Cricetulus griseus: one gene and its partners. The protein of the gene in region 1 interacts with the protein of each later gene in a pairwise test. Links are inferred from orthologs where the notes say so. Each region holds a gene or a part of one and is shown in the gene's direction. Other genes may lie near its edges.

What was found.
Region 2: the proteins of Pnma1 (region 1) and Aptx interact in binary tests that used the Homo sapiens proteins (3 or more experiments, as listed by UniProt). The two-hybrid records come from large-scale screens. The link is inferred for Cricetulus griseus from reciprocal best matches to the Homo sapiens genes PNMA1 and APTX.
Region 3: the proteins of Pnma1 (region 1) and Tead4 interact in binary tests that used the Homo sapiens proteins (3 or more experiments, as listed by UniProt). The two-hybrid records come from large-scale screens. The link is inferred for Cricetulus griseus from reciprocal best matches to the Homo sapiens genes PNMA1 and TEAD4.

What each region holds. Positions count from the first base shown.
Region 1 is NC_048598.1:119,612,386-119,619,091, forward strand, and holds Pnma1 (paraneoplastic antigen Ma1), read left to right. Parts: upstream 1-2,502; 5' UTR 2,503-3,168; coding exon 3,169-4,230; 3' UTR 4,231-4,957; downstream 4,958-6,706.
Region 2 is NC_048595.1:101,914,766-101,920,514, forward strand, and holds the end of Aptx (aprataxin), read left to right. Parts: intron 1-1,879; coding exon 1,880-1,983; intron 1,984-3,138; coding exon 3,139-3,293; 3' UTR 3,294-3,388; downstream 3,389-5,749. UniProt on the Homo sapiens protein: DNA-binding protein involved in single-strand DNA break repair, double-strand DNA break repair and base excision repair.
Region 3 is NC_048601.1:18,178,609-18,185,214, forward strand, and holds part of Tead4 (transcriptional enhancer factor TEF-3), read left to right. Parts: intron 1-1,553; coding exon 1,554-1,694; intron 1,695-3,383; coding exon 3,384-3,536; intron 3,537-3,641; coding exon 3,642-3,755; 3' UTR 3,756-6,606. UniProt on the Homo sapiens protein: Transcription factor which plays a key role in the Hippo signaling pathway, a pathway involved in organ size control and tumor suppression by restricting proliferation and promoting apoptosis.

The sequences.
Region 1 (6,706 bases):
CAGTTTTACTTTTCTAAGTTGACAGAGACCAGACCAGATGAACATAGCCAGAAAAAAAAAAAAATCAAGATGCTACCTATTGGTGGTGATCTCATGAGACACTTTTTGAAGAGTCCATGCTCCGGGGTGCAGCATGAAAACTGTACTATTTCACGGGCAGATCCACTTGTGGCGAGTAGCCAGAGGCTGGCACAGGCACATCCTTACTGGTGCTTTCTCATATGAACACACTGGGCTTGGTTTTTGTTGTTTTATTATTAACTATTATTATTATTCAGAGCTTTTTGCTTTAAGAATAAGTAACAACTTCAGCTTGATATTAGCCTTCCTAGACCATGTCACCTTACCTGTCCCACAGCCTCCACCGGCATTCGGCAAAGGGCATGAAACTGACATAGTGCCTGTGTTCTGGACCATTTCTGGGGTCTCTTACCCATCTAAGGAGACAGTGCCGTCACTACTGTCCTCCACGCCTTCAGCAGCCCCCTCACAGCTAAGGTACATATCTACCTTTCTGCAACCGCAACCCCACCCCACCCCACCCCCGCACAGAGATCCTGTGCTGCCAGTGTCTAAAGGGATTGCCTATATTTAACTGCCTCAGTGACCTAACCTCTTTCTTCTCACGTGCCAGGTGTTAAAGGTGAAGGAGGAAACACACGTACTCAAGCCTCAGCTGTTTAAATGTTTTTACTGGGGCTCACTTTTCTGGGTTGTTATTTATTACTAGACTGGCAAAGCCTAACTCCTTAGGTTTTTATGGGAAGTATGCATATTTTTATAAAAAAAAAAGTTGTGTCTAACCCACATTTGGCTGTGTTTGTTGCCTCAAAAAAAAAAAAAATTGCAGCTGTTAGAACTTTTCCTCATTTGTCTGCTAAGTTGAAGGCCTTGTTGAGGACAGAGCACAGGAACAGCCTTGACAGTCTGTAATTATTGTACAAATATTTTAATAGCATAAAATAAGTATATTCCTTTTATTTTGAAACAAAATGATCAGACACTGCCTTTCATGTGTTTGTTGCCTGTGGCACTCTTTTTAAAAAAGACTGTTACATATTAAATAGTGTACATATATATAAATATTACCTCTTTTGCTGTACAGTTGTGATAGACCAGACTGAAAATTTTATTTTTTGTGTGCTTTTTATAAAAAAATTAATACACTAAAGAGAATCTTGCTGTGATTGTAATGTACCTATGTAACTTATTTACTTTTGAATGTTCTGTATCTTAAGACCTTTTATTAAATAAAAATTTTAAAAAATTCACTGTTGAATGCCATATTCTTGGTTTTTCTTTTTCTTTTCTTTCCTTTTTTTTTTTTTTTTTTTTTTGAGACACGTTTTCTCTGTATTGTTTTGGAGGTTGTTCTGGAACTTGCTCTGAAGACCAGGCTGGCCTTGAACTCACAGAGATCCGCCTGCCTCTGCCTCCCGAGTGCTGGGATTAAAGGAGTTTGCCACCAATGCCCGGCGCCATATTCTTTTTTTTGTAACGATTTGTTTATTTTTATTTTATTTGCATTTGTGTTCTGTGTCTGCATGTGTATCAGTGTGAGGTTGTTAGATCTTTGGGAACTGGGGTTACCGACAGGTGTGAGCTGCCATGTGGGTTCGGGGAATTGAACCCAGGTCCTTTGGAATAGCAGCCAATGCTCCTAACCAGTGAGCCTTCTATCCAGCCCCCAATGCCATATCTTTATAGGGGTGGGGTTTGTGTGTTTATTTATTTATTTGATTTTTTGAGGCAGGGTTTCTCTGTGTAGTTTTGGAGCCTGGCCGGGAACTCAATTTATAGATCAGGTTTGCCTTGAACTCACAAAGCTCCTCCTGCCTCTGCCTCCCGAGTGCTGGGATTAACGGCATGGGCCACCAAGGCCCGCCTGATTTATAGGGATGTTTTTGCCAGCTGGGATTGACAGGCCTTGCTTGAAGAGAATTTACCCTACCTTTCTGAGCCTTAAGCATTCTCTTTTGTTATCCTGTATACTCAGTAAGATCAAGAAATGAAAGTGTTTGCAGTTTGCCTGGCTACAAAGAAGTAGCAGCAGCAGCATTTTGTTGGTTTTTTTTATATATATATATACAAAATTTAGGCAAGAAAGCATAGTAAGTCTCACAGGAACCTGGAGATGGCATTCTGTCTTTTGCTTTCCTGGGGAGGAGCAAGCAGCAGCTGTGGTGTGTGGTCAGGAGGTACGCAGAAGTCAGAGTGCTGAGTGTTTTCATGGGCTGCATAGTGAATGCATAAGCTGGATGAGCAACATGAGACAGACAAGTCTGTCGTGGTGGATGCGTATCAATAAGGCCAACTTAAATTCACAGCAAAATTAGATTAAGAAAAAAAGAAAACGATGCTTTGCAATATTTATTGTTAAGAAAGAAGCTGGGAAATACGTGTGTGTGTGTGTGCGCGCGCGCGCGCGCCATCACAAAATAGACTCCTCAACCCCTCGGTACCATAGCAACCGCCAGATCCTCTGGAGCTCGCGCATCTCCCGTCGTCATGGATACGGTTGCCACGGCGACACTGACGAGCGGACCGGCCCCGCCCTGCACTGCAGCTGCACGGCGGCGGCCGTTGCGGGAGCGCGCTGCTCTAGACGCTGAGCGGAGCTGCCTCCATCCGGCCTCCCGCCTTCCGCGCCTCCCTGAGGCCTCCGTCCCCGGTGCTCGCCTGCTGCCGCAGCCGCCGGACCCGAGTACCGCCTCTCCCGGCGTCTTCCCAGCCACTGCCTCGCGTGACCCTACGCCCGCGCCTACCGCCGGCCGGCCGGCCCGAGAGCGGCGGGGGGGAGCTGCCACACCCCGCGACCGCACCCGGCCGTCTCCCTCGTGAAGCTGAAGCCCACCGCCTTGCGCCAACCTTGCTTCTCCCCTGCCCGCCGTGAGGCCACGAATAGCTGCGGCCAGCCCGCACCTGCTCGGACCAAAGAGGGCGACATTCGATAGGCAGAGTGCCCCGAGGCACCTGACACTACTGACTTTGGGACCCGGAAGGGACGAGACTGGACTCCGGTGTCACTGGTAATTGTGGTTGCTTGAAGCTTGTCGCCCCCTGGCCTACCCGGGGGAGGGAGGCATGTTGTATTGTCCTAGGTCCTATAGCACTGCGAGCCAGTCCAGTCGGTGTCTGTAGAACTGGCACCCTTAATAGTGGGGCGAAATGGCTTTGACGCTCTTGGAAGACTGGTGCAGGGGAATGGATGTGAACTCTCAGAGAGCTCTGCTGGTCTGGGGGATCCCTGTGAACTGTGATGAGGCTGAAATCGAAGAGACCCTCCAAGCTGCCATGCCCCAAGTGCCCTACCGAGTACTGGGGAGAATGTTCTGGAGGGAAGAAAATGCGAAGGCAGCCTTGTTAGAGCTCACCGGGGAAGTGGATTACTCCCTGATCCCTAGAGAGATGCCAGGCAAAGGAGGGCTCTGGAAAGTGTTCTTTAAGCCCCCCACTTCTGATGCGGAGTTTCTGGAGAGGCTGCACCTCTTTCTAGCTAGGGAAGGGTGGACTGTGCAAGATGTTGCTCGTGTGCTTGGGTTTCAGAACCCTGCTCCCGCTCCAGGCCCAGAAATGCCAGCAGAGATGCTCAATTATATTTTGGATAATGTTATTCAACCTCTTGTTGAGTCCATATGGTATAAGAAGCTGACGCTATTCTCTGGGAGGGACATTCCCGGGCCTGGCGAGGAGACCTTTGATTCCTGGCTGGAGCACTCGAATGAGGTCATAGAAGAATGGCAGGTGTCTGATATAGAAAAGAGACGGCGGTTGATGGAGAGTTTGAGAGGCCCTGCTGCTGATGTCATTCGCATCCTCAAGACCAACAACCCAGCCATAACCACCGCGGAATGCCTGAAGGCTCTTGAGCAGGTGTTTGGGAGCGTGGAGAGCTCTAGAGATACACAGGTCAGATTTCTGAACACTTACCAGAACCCCGGGGAAAAGTTGTCATCTTACGTCATTCGTCTGGAGCCTCTGCTACAAAAGGTAGTGGAAAAGGGGGCCATTGATAAAGATAACGTGAACCAGGCTCGCCTGGAGCAGGTCATCGCCGGGGCCAACCACAGTGGGGCCATCCGAAGGCAATTGTGGCTGACTGGGGCTGCGGAACGACCGGCACCCAACCTCTTCCAGTTGCTGGTGCAGATTCGAGAGGAGGAAGCCAAGGAGGAGGAAGAGGAAGCTGAGGCAGCCCTTTTGCAGCTAGGCCTGGAGGGGCACTTCTGAGTCCCTGGATCAGTCTGGCTGCTTTTGTTATCCCTGTGCGGTTTTACAAGCCTTGCCTCTCATAGTAAAGACCTAGCCTCCTGTTTTTGTTTTGTTTTCTGGGGGATGGGATAGGGGAGTCAGGCCTGCGTATTTGTGTAGCAGTCACAGAATTGCGTGATTGGCCAGGGCTGCAACAGTAGAGGTGGTTCATACTGCCTAAAATGAATGCTTGATGCAAGCCCTCCTAGTGACATCTTTGACAGTTGTGAAAAATGTGAAGCTGAGACACTTCCTGTCAGGATGATTGTGAAAGTGCAAGCCTGCTTCACAGGCTGTATGGTACAGACTGACATTTGTTACTAATATTGTGGATAGTTTTACTGTACATTGTCCCTAATTTATATACATGGGAAGAATATGAGTCTGTTAGATGATACTGCTCATTTTGAAAATTCAGATTTCTCATTCCTCACGGCTCAACATCAGAACCAGTTTACCAGCAAAGTACTCTAGGATTAAAATTGGCAAGTTAGAAAAATGTGATTTTTATGAAGAGGCACAACCTACTTTTCATGGTGTAAGATACAAATATAAGTCAGGGGGAATTTCCATAAACAAGCTACATTTTCCCCACATGAATTATTTGTCATTTAATTATTGGTCATGTTGATGCTAAGTGTTCTAAATTTGAAGTTATCAAATAGATGTATACAAATAAAAATGTGAAAATTCTCATCTTGCTTTTCCTGACATGTATAAAAAATTTTCAGTGTAACTTAGCTCTGCACATTTTTTCTCTGCACATTTTTGCTCATGTCAAAAAATTTTTTAATCTCCTTGCTATGAGCTTAAATTGCAATATCACCTACACATTCTTGTGTTGCCGGTTCCTCGGTTATTGTTTTGTTTCTTTTTCACGGTCCCACTCGATAGCTAGCTGAGGCTGGCTTGGAATTCACTCTGTAGCCCAGGCTGGCCTCAAACTTGTAGCAATCCTCCTGCCTCCAGCCTCCACAGTGCTAGGGTTACAGGTGTGAGCCACCTCACCCAGCTATTTCTTTTAGATACAGTCTCACTATCTAGCTCCGGCTAGTCTTGAACTTGTGGTATCTATCCCTGCCTCTTCCTACTGGATGCTGGGATCATAGGCATGTGCCTTCACATTCTGCTTCTGCAATGCCCTTTAGTGGCTTCTGTTTTTGCATGACTTCAAGGCAAGCGATGATGGCTGAAGAGATGAAAGTGTATTTCTATGAAATTTGACCAAAAAAATTGAAATGGGGCTTAGGTTTTCTAGCAACCTTTTTCATTTTGTGACTTTAACACCTTGTTTCAGTGAAGAAATATGGTCGAGTCATGTGTGTTCAAAGTGAGCATTTGTTTCACGGCAGTCATTTTATACTAAGATGAGAAAAGGGAAAGGCTCTAGAGATGCTGTGACTGAAGATGCTGCCCCTGAGCTCCTGCATAGATACAGAAGTGCTGTGAAGCTTTCTCCAAGGTTTTAAGATCAGAGCTCCGCTTCATGGAGGCATTGGTGGGGTTGGCAGAGCTGGCGCCATTTGTTAATTGTGACTATGAATTTATGAATGCTAACATTGGTGTTTTTCCTACATTTTTCTTTTTAAAATAGTGTGTGTGTATGTGTGTGTGTGTGAGGGGGGCTGTGCATATTATGGTATGCATGTGGAGGAATCCTTTATCTCCTTCTACCATATGGGTCCCTCAACATAAAGTTCTGTTTCTTAAACTTTTATTCATGCACACACTTTGCTTTCATGTGCTAACCAACCACACTCCCAACTCCTATATTTAGATATACATTCTTAAAGACAAATATGGATTCGGCATCTTTCACATAGGGGCATAGTACAATTTTTGTGTGTGGGCACAAGTGAAGGACACAGGACAACTTGGAGGAGTCAGTTCTCCTTTCTTCCACGTAGGTTTGGGGGATCAAACCCAGGCTGGCAGCCTTGATGGTAAATGCACTTACCTGCTGTGCCATCTCACCAGCCCACATCACCCTGCCAATGCAACCTCAACTCAGTGGCTGCTACATCATTTTGTTTGGTAGCAAGGATTGAATTTAAGATCTCATGTGTGCTGGTCAAGCACTCTGCCACCATGCTTAGCCTATATATTTTTTTAACAGCTGAAACACTGATTGCATCCCATGATGAAATGTATTTTTATGATTGTATATAACAGCTGTGCATATCTACATGTACATACAACCATATTTAATACAATACATAAAGCAATGTCAGGATCACAGATGCTCATTCCCTCTTCCCCAGTCTTTTTGAGGTGAGTTTCCTCTGTAGCCTAGGCTATCCTTGAACCCCTGCCTCAAGTCTAGGATGCTGGTGGATAACACATTCTTTGTTCTAGGCAACAGTGAATTAAAAGTAACTAGTTATGACCTGATTTGAGGTTTTCTCTCTATAAGTTCAGGAATTTTTAATTTTTTTTTTTAGAAAGAACTGTGGGA
Region 2 (5,749 bases), on another chromosome or scaffold:
CTTTTAAAGGTACAAGTGGGAAATTGTCTTCTTAAACTCTTCAGCAGCTCCCTAATTCGGTCAGTATAGAACAACACTCTTACAGGCCTTTAGGCCCATCATGATCTGGCTCTTGCTGAATTCCTGTTCCTCGGCTCTAGTATTTCTGGTCATATACTGTGGCCATATCACCTCCTTTGTGTTCCATGCTTACACCAAGCTGCTGCTTGCCCCAGGGCTTTGAATTTGGCCTCTGCTCTTGCTTTACCTGGCAGAGGTCTTCTCTGGGCACAATTAACTAGCTCCAGCCCTAGTCACTGTCCCACTTCTCTCTCCTTCCCTTTTCTTCCTTCCTCCTCTTAATTTCTTCTTCTTTTATTAGTGTACAATAATTACATATAATGGGTTTCATTATGGCATTTTCATATATGTGTATACTCTTATTCTTGCCTCCTCCTCCTATTTCTACTGAACCCCTTTCTTTTCTCAACTCGTTATTCCTTTTTTTTTTTTTTTTAAGACAGGTTTCACTGTGTAGCCCAGGCTGGCCTTGGGTTTAGGATCCTCCTACTTTAGCTTCCCAAGTACTGAAATTTAAGGCATGTGCCAACATGCCTGGCACCTTCTTTAGTGACTTGGATTTTTCTTGCTTATTTGTCTTTCTTCATTAGAATGTCATTATTCTAGATTTAGAGTCCTTGTGTATATTATTCACTACTAAATTCCCAGTTCTAGGTTTGATTAGGTACTTACTAAGCACTAAATATTCTTGTGTGTGTGTGTGTGTGTGTGTGTGTGTGTGTAGCTAATTGATTTTCTCCTTTTTTATTTTAATATTTATTTACTTATTTATTTGAGACAGGTTCTCACTGTGTAGCTCTGGCTGGCCTGGAATTTGCTATGCAAACCAGGCTTCCCTGGAGCTCACAGAGACCCTGCTGTCTTTTCCTCCAGAGTATTGACATTAAAGGCATGTACCACCATATCTAGCTTTCACCTTATTTTTTGAGACATGGATACTCACTGAACCTGGAGCTTGCTGATTTGGCTAGACTGGTTGGCCAGCAAGCTGTGTCTCCTCAGTGCTAGGAGAGTATGTGTTGCTATGCCTGGCCTTTTCACCTCAGGGCTGAAGATTACATTTAGGTCTTTGTGCTTGCATGGTGTCTCAATTAGGGTTACTATTGCTGTGATGAAGCACCATGACCAAGGAAAGGGTTTATTTGGCTTACACTTCCATATTGCTGCTCTTCATCAAAGGAAGTCAGGGCAGGAACTCAGACAGTACAGGAACCTGGAAGCAGAACCTGATGCAGAGGCCTTGGAGGGGTGCTGCTTACTGGCTTGTTCCTCATGGCTTGCTTTTTATAGAACTCAGGACACCCAGCCCAGGGGTGGCCCCATCCCATCAATCACTAATTTAGAAAATGCCCCACAGGCTTTCATACAGCCTGATCTTAAGGAGTCATTTTTTTTTTCTTTCTTGTTTTAGTTTTTGTTTTTCAAGACAGGGTTTCTCCATGTAGCCCTGGCTGTCCTGGAACTCACTCTGTAGACCAGGCTGGCCTCAAACTCACATAGATTGCACCTGCCTTTGCCTCTTGACTGCTGGGATTAAAGACATGTGGCACCCCCACCTGGCTGGAGGCATTTTCTTAATTGAGGTTGCATCCTCTCAGATGACTTTAGCTTGTGTCAAGTTGATGTAAAACTATCCATCACACATGGCAAGCACTTTGCTCCGTATGTTGTCTCCCAAGCATTTACTGTTCTCAACTAAATGAATGGGTATATTGCATTGAATGAACACAGCATCATAACTTTATGTACCTGTACTTTAACTGGTGTCATTTTGATTAAATCATAGTTTCTAATACTCAAATTTTCAACTTTCAACTAGCCATGTACACCTTCATGTGATCAGCCAGGATTTTGATTCTCCTTGCCTTAAAAACAAAAAACATTGGAATTCTTTCAATACAGAATACTTTCTGGAATCACAAGGTAAATAATATTCTTTTAAAAAAATATTTATTTCATTTTCTTGGATGTTTTACCTGGCCTCAAATGACCCACATACATTTAGTGATCTCTGAAAAACTGGCACTCCTAGAATGAACGAGAATGTTTCACTGTAATAAGATTGCTGCGTTGCTGTGAGCATCCTGGAAGGACCCAGTCAGCTGTTACGTTGGGCTCAAAAGTGTTTCATTTTGACAGCAGAGGAGTTAATGCCGCCCAATCTGCCAGGTGTTCTTGTTATCTGGGGTAGACTCTTCTCTAGGAAGATGTGTGGGAGCTGGTGCTGAATCTGAGAGTCTGTGCTAGCCATGCTCTGCTGTTTGTCACAGTGACAGAATACCTGACATACACTAAGAAATTAAAGTTGTTTCGGTTCATAGTGTCAGAGGACGCGTCCGTGGCTCTGTTGCTGGGCTATGGTGAGGGAGCACACTGGCAGGGAGGGATGGGACGAGTAAAGCTGCTCTCTTATTGGTAGCCAGGGATTGAGAGAAAGAAAGAGGAGAGAGGGCCTAGGGAAGGGACTTGGGACAAAACACAGCCTCAAGGGTGTACCCGGTGACCTATTTTCTCCAGGTAGGTCCCACCTCCTAAAGTTTCTATCATCTCACCAAATAGCATCAACATCTGGAGACCACACTTGCAATTCATGAGGCTTTAGGGGGGACACTTCATGTCCAAATGCTAACAGAGTTCTTGGGTGAGAGGGTCTCAGTAGTTCTTTGTCTCTTTGGCAGAGTTGAGCAGGAGTTTGGGGCTCTCTCCTGTTAGCAGTGCTTCATGAATACTGTGTATATTTGGGATGTAAGCATTTCTCAGATTATTTTCTACGCAACCAGTACTACTGTGGTGTAAATGGGGCAGCTACTGTTTAGCAAAGATCCACTCGAGGAAAAGCGTGATGATAGGCCTATGTTGTGGTACATGGAGTGTGTCCTGAAGGAGTGCATCATCTCAAAGGTAGGTTGCTGAGACTTAAAATCTGGTCAAGTGCATTTTCCCAGTGTGAAGTCTTATCTTCAAGTTCATGAGCCTTAGCATAGCAGATATGTTGATAGTCATGTTTTTAGCCTTTTTCTTGGCATCTTAATGACTGTTCAGAGTAGCTGTCTTCTGAACTTTACTTCTTGTTTGCAGCTGTGATCAAGATGGTTCAAGAAGTTGGTAGAGTGACTGTTCAAGAAGGGACTTCTGAACTCTTGAAGCTGCCTCTTCGTTGCCACAAGTGTCAGCAGTTGCTGCCTTCCATCCCGCAGCTGAAAGAGCACCTCAGGAAGCACTGGGGCGGGTGACACTCTCCCCGGAGACGGAGTGCAGTGCCAGGGCTGTCTGCATTGTCTGTGCCCCACGCAGTCCTGAACTAAAACATGCAGCTTTTCAAAGCAAAGCTTATTTCTTCTTGAGGGGCCACATGGGGTGACTGCTTAGTTCAGGACTTGGGAATTTGGGTTTGTATGGGTATATTCTCTGGTGGTGGAAGCTGGGACATCTCTGAGCACCTTACCAGGACCATGTCAGGCCTAACTGATGAGAGGAGGAAACAAAACCAGCTTGAGACTCAAATGCAGGATGTAAAAGCAGAGGGCTAGTAATATATTTTGTTCCTACCCTTCCCCTTCCCCCAGACTATGTAGTATCTTTTCATCAGGGTAGCTGAGGTTCTAGAGAGTCTAGTTCTCTGACTTTAATCTGCTCTACGATAGTCTTCTTCCCTCTATGAGGAGGCTTTCAGTCTACTGTACTAGGCTGTGTGTCGAAGCGAAAATGTGTGGCAGTCATCTGCACAGAGAGATGGGTTGCATGTGACTGTCTGCGGAGGAAGTGGTAACATTTGGCACAGTGTTAACAGTGCAGTCTGTGCTGAGGGCAGCCAGGGCAGTGTGTACTGTCAGCTTCAGGCAGAGGTTTAACTGTGGCTCCAGCCACAGCTCTTGAGAATTACAGAACATACAGCAAACTTCAGATAAAGTTTTTCCCAATGTGCCTTGGAAAAATAGATGTTGCTAGACATTTAATTTCTGTCTAATGCTATGTAGTTTAGCAATCTAATATTAAAATGAATATTTGATTAGAGACTGCAAGGAGGGGCTGTATCAGACAGCCTGTCAACCATAATGGACATTCCAAGAATGAGGTGACCATGCCTACATTCTTCATTCTGCTCCAAATCGATTTTTTAGGGCTGGAGAGATGATTTAATGATTAAGAGTGTGCATTGCTTTTCTAGAGGACCTGAGTTTTGTTCCCATCATCCACAGGCAGTTCACAACCACCTATAGCTCCAGGGAATCTGACACCTTCTTCTGACTTCCATGGGTACTATACCCTGGTGCACACGAACCCAAATACACACATGCACATTCATACATAATCAGTACCTTAAAAATTAGATCTCCTAGAGGAAAAATATGTAAGTAATGACTTGGAGGAACCAGACAAAGGACATGAAGTTTTGAAGTATATTAATCTCCTAACTCTCTTCTCCCAAATAGGTTTTTATCACTATGGGGAGGAAGACTTTCTGAACTCTGGATGTAGCCCTAGCTATCCTGGAACTCACTATGTAGACTAGGCTGTCCTTGAACTTGCATAGATCTACCATTCTGTGCCTTCAGAATACTGAGGTTAAAGTATACTACCACCACCAAGATAAACAAACAACCAACCAACCTCCCAAATATACAAGGATTAGATACACATTGCCTGTATTTAAAATTCAGTGTTTTCTTAGTGAAATATTGTCACACACTATTCCTTTTTGCAGAAATGCTCACATCCATCACCTGCTTCTAGATTGTTCTTTCTGTTTGGGTATTGATAATGTATTAGTTAACCTCACCTTCATGTCAGCTAGAAGCTCTGCTCTTATCCAGCTTCACATACACTAGTTCCTGGTGTCAACATGCTGAATGCTCTTCAAGGAAAGTATTTGAGTGTGCAACAGTTAGGATTCTGTCACTGAATAACAGGTTGTTTGATTCCCAGGCCTCAGTTTCCAGCTCTTGAATACTTTGCATCCACACAGTGCTGCAAAATTGCCTGTCTGTCTCTCAGGTTTCATTGTGTACCTGGGCATTCACATTTTGGACAGAAGAAAATATTTGTCTTTTGCAGGAAGACAGATACCCTGGAGATCATCCTGTAAAACAAAACCAGTCAGACTCAGAATGACAACTGCCTTATATGAATGGTTTCAAAGTTCTGGGCTCCACAGTGAGACAGAGTATTGTGGAGTAGAAACATGTGCAAAGCCTACTTCTCACATGGGACAGGAAGGCAGAGACAGCATTTTCTTATTAGTGCCTACATAGGCCTTATTTAGCTAAGGCTGGCCTGGAACTCATGTAGCTCAGGCTGGTCTTGAATTCAAGACCCAACTGTCTTAGCCTCCCAAGTTCTGGATTACAGGCTTGTGTTGCCATGCATGGCTAAGAAGTGTCCTCAGAGTACTGGTTGCAGGCCATGAGACACCTCCACATGTAGGCCACCAGTCAACTAATCTTTCTGTGGCTGAACCCTGCAGGTAAGAGGTGGAGCCCAGGGCAGAGGAGGCACTTCTGGGGCTGTCCGAGAAGCCAGTGGATCCTCTGGATTCTTACTGGCTACTGAGAGCATTTCCACACCACAGACTAGCTCATGGCAGCTGGGAATTTACTTTTGCATTCAAGGACCCAGGTGTATAGGAGGTCAGATTCTCAGATGCAGCTGATTCCAGCTGGCCAGGAGTGAGAAGAGACTCCTGATTTAG
Region 3 (6,606 bases), on another chromosome or scaffold:
ACCATAAGCCCTGGATATCAGATAAGGTGCTGTAGAACTTCATACTTGGTTGAGTTGCAGTCTTTTCTTTTTCAAGCTTTTTAATGTATATCTCTGTGTATATGTGAGTACACATTTACAGTTACCCATGGAGGCCAGAAGAGAAGCTGGGGCTTGGGGGCTGAGCTCAGGTTCTCTGTAAGAGTGGCAAGTGCTCTTAACTGTTGAGTCTTAATCTTTCCAGGGCCTGTGTTTCTTCTTGGTCCTCTCCTTTGCTTTCCTTTTGACATGGGAATGTTTACTCTGTTCTAGGATGAATGGCGAGTAGGTGGTTTTCTTTCTGATTTTGCAGGGTTCATAGCTCGGATTGCCTCAGAAGAAACTTTGCACTTTGACACTTCTGACTACATGTTTTTATTTGTCCTATAAGATGGACAGGAGCCGTTCTGGGTCAGGGATATACTTTGAATTCACAATGTTACCCACAGACTTGCATATGGAATGCTTGGTCCCCAGCTTGTGGTGGCTCTATTTTGAAGGTTGTAGAGCTTTTAAGAGTTGTGGCCTTGCTGCTAGAAACTAGAAATAAGACACTAGCGGCAAGTCCTTGAAGGTTATACCCACTCCTGGTTTTGGCTTGTGTTCTCCCTTTCCTGGCCCATGCCACGAGAACAGCCACCATCTCGTGTTCTTAGCATCAGGATGGGATCATTCTGCCATGCCTTCCCTGCCATGAGGGACTGAGACAACCAAGATAACCCTTCCTTAGGTTGTTTATATGTGGTATTTAGTCACGGTGATCCTAAGTTAATTAATACAATATCCAACCAAGAAGTGGTTGCCTGGTGGGCAGCTGTGAACATATTTCTCATTGTTTGGGAAACAAAGAATTACATTGAGCCTGGGTGTGGGGGGGGTGGCAGAGGCTTTCTTACGCTTGCTATGTGCCCATGTTTTTTTCTTTTTCTTCTTGCTTTTTGGTCCTTCCAGGCCAACAACCGGCTTCCCACTGAGCTGTAGCCAACTCCTACCCCCATTCTTTTAAAGCCCCGTCTCTTCCAAGATGAAGGGACTGGTATGGGCACAAGAAACCCCAACACCAAGTTCTGGGCACAAAGGAGATTTATTTGCCCCAGAGGGACAAACGGCAGGGGAAAAAAAGAGAAAGACAGGAGGACAAGGGAGACAGACTCGGCCCATAGGAAAATGGTGGGTTTATAAAGGGGAAAGGGGAAACCCTGTGTTAGGATGAGGTGTTTAATTTCAATTGGATAGGTTAATTAAGGCAGCCATAGGGGGTTTTTGATTGCTGGACTTCAATACTTTAACAGCTGGACCTTGGTAGTCAGCGGTAGGAAGAGGAAGTGGTCAGATAAGGGAAAGGACCTTGATGGCTGGCTTTAGGAATATGGTCTAATGGCTTTTAGAAAGGCAGAGGGAATGGGGAGGAGGGCGGGGCGTGCCAGAGCCATGTTTGTCACGCTCAGGCCGGCTAGAGTCCCTTCACAAGAACCTGCACTGTGACCTCTAAGGACACCCCTGAAAACAATCGTATGCTTCCATTTCTCCGGCAGGCAGACCTCAATACCAACATTGACGATGAAAGCAACGCCTTCTATGGGGTCTCCAGCCAGTACGAGAGCCTGGAGAACATGATCATTACCTGTTCTACCAAGGTCTGCTCCTTTGGCAAGCAAGTGGTGGAGAAAGTTGAGGTAGGAGGCCATCCAGTGGGTGTAGACAAAGGGCATGGTCTGTGTGCCCCCTTTCCCTGGAGCTCTCTTGGGGGCAGGATTGCTGAGGGGGGCCCCATGTGGCTTCCACATACCTTCAGGAAGTGTGTGTTTTAGGTTGGGTATGAGGCATCTAATAAATTACTGATTTAATTGTCTGTCCCACACCTCCGATCCCTGACTAATTTTTTGGTCAGGATTCCTTTCACACCTTCCTTGCAAGCATCCCGCAACTTCTAGAGCAGGGCCAAAGCAGGGGCTAGCCCAAGGGTTTCTCCCTAATCCATCTGTGTCTTTGACAGCTGGTCCTGGGGATAGGCATGGCCTTTCTCAGTTGCACAGCTCTCTAGATGCATAGGCCGTGAGAACGGATGTTCAGGATCTGTTCCCCTCTCACTTTTTACTCCACGAATGCTGCAAGCTTGTGGAGTCCCTGTTTCTCCAGGTGTTTGAGTTTTTCTAAGAGCCTGGTGTATGTTCGGCAAGTATTCTGCCATTGAGCTATACAGCCCTTTATCCCCACCTCACCCCTTTTGAGACAGTCTTTCGAGTCCCCTTGCCAGGCATCCCAGTATCACACAGCTTTTTGGTTTTTGGAGTGCCTTGGAGACCTTACACTTGGGCAGAGTTCTCTGCCTCACTCCCATTCACCCTGTCAAAGGCAGGCAGGCTGGTAATGAGCTCTCAAGCTAAGGACTTGGGTTTCATCCCTGTACACCTCCCCCGACCCCCACTTCCTCTTGGGGTTGTGTTAACACTCCTGACTGATCTCTAAGGAAGTATCAGGTTGCCTTCACCACCCATTGGTCCCAATGACTGTGACCTTCTGATCTTACTGTGTGATGAGAATGACAAAATGGCCTTAAATGTCACAGTGTCCGTGTGGTCCTAAAGACTGTGACACTGCGGTGCTTAACACTACATGCTGTCAGGCTGGTCACCTCTTGGCCTACGTGGGTCTGAATTGATGGTGTCCTCTCTACCTGAGGTTGACAGAAACTCATGTCCAACAGTTAGGTGCCAGGCAGCACCTGGGAATCTCGACCTTCGCTTCATGGGTCCCAACCCTAGCTGTTCCATTGCCAGGAAGCTTTTGATACACGTTAGCTCCACTGAGCCCCACTCATGTAACTTCTCTTAATCTTGGGAGTGTAATGTGTGTGTGTGGTCTTTTGTTCTATTTGGTGCTATAGATGGACTCCAGGGCTCAGAATTGCTGTCCTATCCCAGCAAAGGCAGTTTTTTACAAAGCTCCTACAGTTATTTACTTGCATTAAACTTATCAAGGTTTTGAGGTGCTCATGTGTCTATCCAGCCATCATCCTATGTGCTGTCTATCCAGCTCCTTGGTAGCATCCACTACCAAGCTTCACGCGTAAGGCAGTTCCACCACACGGATGCGGGTTCCCTCCCTCAGCTCAGCCTCACTTGCCACACCTGCCCCATCTCATGGCCGCTCCTTCCGGGTCTTTACATGTCCTTCTCCTGGAAGTGACCGAGCGGAAAGGTCTGCTTTCATGTCTAGAAACCTCAGAGGATAGCGCTGGTCCTGGATCATCTTCTGCCTCTGTGTCCCATTGGCTGTGTTGGATTTTTGTACATCCCTGCTAAATTGGGCTTGGGCAAGAGGTGAAGGGATGCTAAGCCTCTGCTGTCCCTGGGGTTCTACAGACAGAGTATGCGCGCTATGAGAACGGTCGCTACCTGTACCGTATCCACCGGTCCCCGCTCTGTGAGTACATGGTCAACTTCATCCACAAGCTGAAGCACTTACCGGAGAAATACATGATGAACAGTGTGCTGGAGAACTTCACCATCCTGCAGGTGTGACCGGGGGCCGCATGCCCAGGGGGTCTGTGCGGAGGTGGTGGGTGGCACCCTTGGCTTCCCAGTCCAGGGCTCTGACCGTCACCTCTGTCTCACTTGCAGGTGGTCACCAATCGAGACACACAGGAGACCTTGCTGTGCATTGCCTACGTCTTCGAAGTGTCAGCCAGCGAACATGGGGCTCAGCACCACATCTACCGGCTTGTGAAAGAATGAGAGACTTGGAGAACGATGGTGGGGGGACAGATCCAGGAAATGGGGACCTGGGAGGGAACCTTCAGGGCCAGCCCCCCAGAAGTGCCAAGAGAGCCGAGCAGAGAAGCAAACTGCCTGATCTTGCAGTGCCCAACCCCCCAATAAACCCAAGGTGCCGAGTATTTTCAGAGGAGCTGGTCTGGCTGTATGAGCCCAGGAGGGCAGGGGAGAAGGGGGCACCAGGAGGTACCAGGAAGCAAGCTGGAAGCAAGCCCAGAGATGCTCTCAGATGGTCCAGGAGCCAGAACCCCAGTGGACTCAGCCAGCTGTTTATCTCCAGACGCTAAAGCTCAAGACCCAGTGGTCCCTTCTCAGCTGCTGGAACCCTACACTCTGCTGCTGGTCACACTAGTGGCCTGAGGACAGATGGCATGCAGGTCACACACCCAGAGATGCTGTGCGTGACCCGTGTACACTGTCAGCCCTGCCGTGATGATGGCTACCGCAGAAGGCCCCACCCCTGCAAACAGGGCTAGATTTAGGTGTGGCTTCAACAAAGTTGTTGGCTGGAGACTGAGTTACTCAGGTGGCCCTGCAGTGGCCCTGCAGGGGGCTATGACTCCAGATTGAGGCAAGGCTTCGAAGTAGGGAGTCCTGATTCAAGTCCTTGGCTTCTCTGTTCGTCCACTTTTCTCTCCGCTCAGCACTGGTGAGGAGAGGATGTCTATGAAGTGCCTAGGCCATGCCGGGTGGTGGTGGCGCACACCTCTAATCCCAGCACTTGGGAGGCAGAGGCAGGCGAATCTCTGTGAGGTCAAGGACAGCCAGGGCTACACAGAGAAACCTTGTCTCAAAAAACAAAACAATAGTGACTGGGTACCATGCCAGTTCAATGATCTCTCCCTCAGCCCCAGCCCCTTGCTTCCCTCCCTCTGGAGGGCCTGGGTCTGGCTCTCTGCTGCTTTCTCAAGGCTTCCCCAGTTGGAGCCAGTTTCTAGTAACCTGGAGCCTCAGGAAGAAAGATCCAACCTGGGCATGTTTGTGTGTGTGCCCAGAACTCAGGGATGTATCTGTGGGGGTGCAGAAATGGGCAGGGTAGCATTGAGGGGATGTTACAGAGGTGAGGGACGAAGGGCTCTGGAAATCAGTCTAGCCTGACTTTGATGTGCAACCTCTGGGGTGTTAACGTTATGGTGCCTCAGTTTCCCATCTGCAAAATGGGTATAGCATCCACCTACCTCGTGTCTATACAGTGCCTCATGTAGCAATGAGCACATCCACATGTTCAATAAATATGCATCGGTACTCACCGTGGGAGCTTCAGTTCCCGCTGAGGAGCCCAGATTGAAGCCCACTGTGGTGGGGTGATCCTACAGCAGCTGGCCTTCAGATAGGAGCGATCCAGGGGTCTCAGGGAAGAGGTAGCCCTCCAAGGGACAAGTTCTGAGAGGAGGATGGCTAATGTTTAGTGATGTTATTTGTGTGGAGTTTTGGTGCTGGGGCCGACCCCAGGGCTTGGCACAGGCCGAGTGACCAGGCCAGAAGTGTGCAAATAAGCTCATGGGAGGAGTCTGGCTGCATCTCAGCTGAGGAAGACAGACAAGCCATCCAGTCTTTCTGTAGGTCCCAAGTGCCCTCTCCTCAACCCAAAGCAATTTAGCGCACACCTCCCCCACCGGGCTAGGCTGGTGGCTGGACCCAGACCTGCTTCCTACTGCACTGTGTAGAGGTCCTGCTGTCAAAGAGGGTCAAGGCCCTCTCCCCCTGTGATTGCTGCCTGGCAGCAGTGTTCTTGGGAAGCCCCAGCCTCAGCCATTTCAGACTTTTATGTGGGCAGCCTCTTGAGACAGGAAGGACACAACCTTTTCCTGTAGGAAGCAGGTCAGTCCAGATGTTGGGTCACAGTGTGGATTCTTAGTTTCTCCTGTGTGAACTGACCTCAGTGACCTAAGGGAGAGCCACCATAGAAGATGGCAGTCTTAGTTGCTACTCCGTTCAAGTCAATATGGCACCCCCGCTCCCCCCTTTCCCAGCAGTCTCACTGATGGTACTGTGCTGGCGCCATTTTTTCTTTTTTTAGATGAGCTCGCCCTCTCTGGCCTAGGCTAATATTTCCAGTGATCCTCCTGCCTCAGCTTCCTGAGGAGCTGGGTCTATGGGTGCTTACCACTGTATCCAGCAGTCCTATTTTAAAGATTAAGAAAGTGAGGCCCCGAGAGCTTGAGGAAGTTGCTTGGGTTGTTGGTGTATTTTTTTCATTTGCCGAAAGTGAGGCCCCGAGAGCTTGAGGAAGTTGCTTGGGTTGTTGGTGTATTTTTTTCATTTGCCGTGTGAGTAGTTGTTTGATTTCGGAGATGTGTCAGGCTCTGGGAATGTGTCCATGAGCAAAGCAGCCAGGGCGGCTACTTTGGACTAAGGAAGGGGTGACTGGAGGCTTAAAGTTGAGGAGACTTGCAGGCGGTGGGAAATGCTGTGGAGGGGGAGGGCACCAAGGTTAGCTTCATAGGGAGGCTGCCAAGGCCCACAATCTGCACTGACTCTTGAACCACAGACAAGTGGATCCGAAGGAACATTCCAAGAGAGAATTGAGAGTCCTGGAGGCGGGGAGGGGATGGGCGTGCCCCAGGGCTATGCCGAGTGACAGAAGGTAGGCATACCCCCACCCAGCCAGCATGCCAGGTAGGAAGGCGGGTGGTTCAGTCTTTTGTGTCCCCTACACTCCCTGTGTGGATGCCGACTTTGGAGTTCTCTTAGGGTGGTAGCAAGGCCTGGAGCTGTGAAGCAAGGGAGTGCGTTCCTTTGATAGTATTTCAGAGAGGGCCACCCATGTCACGACCCCGGGAGTGAAAGCCCTCCTGGTGTTACCTAGTTA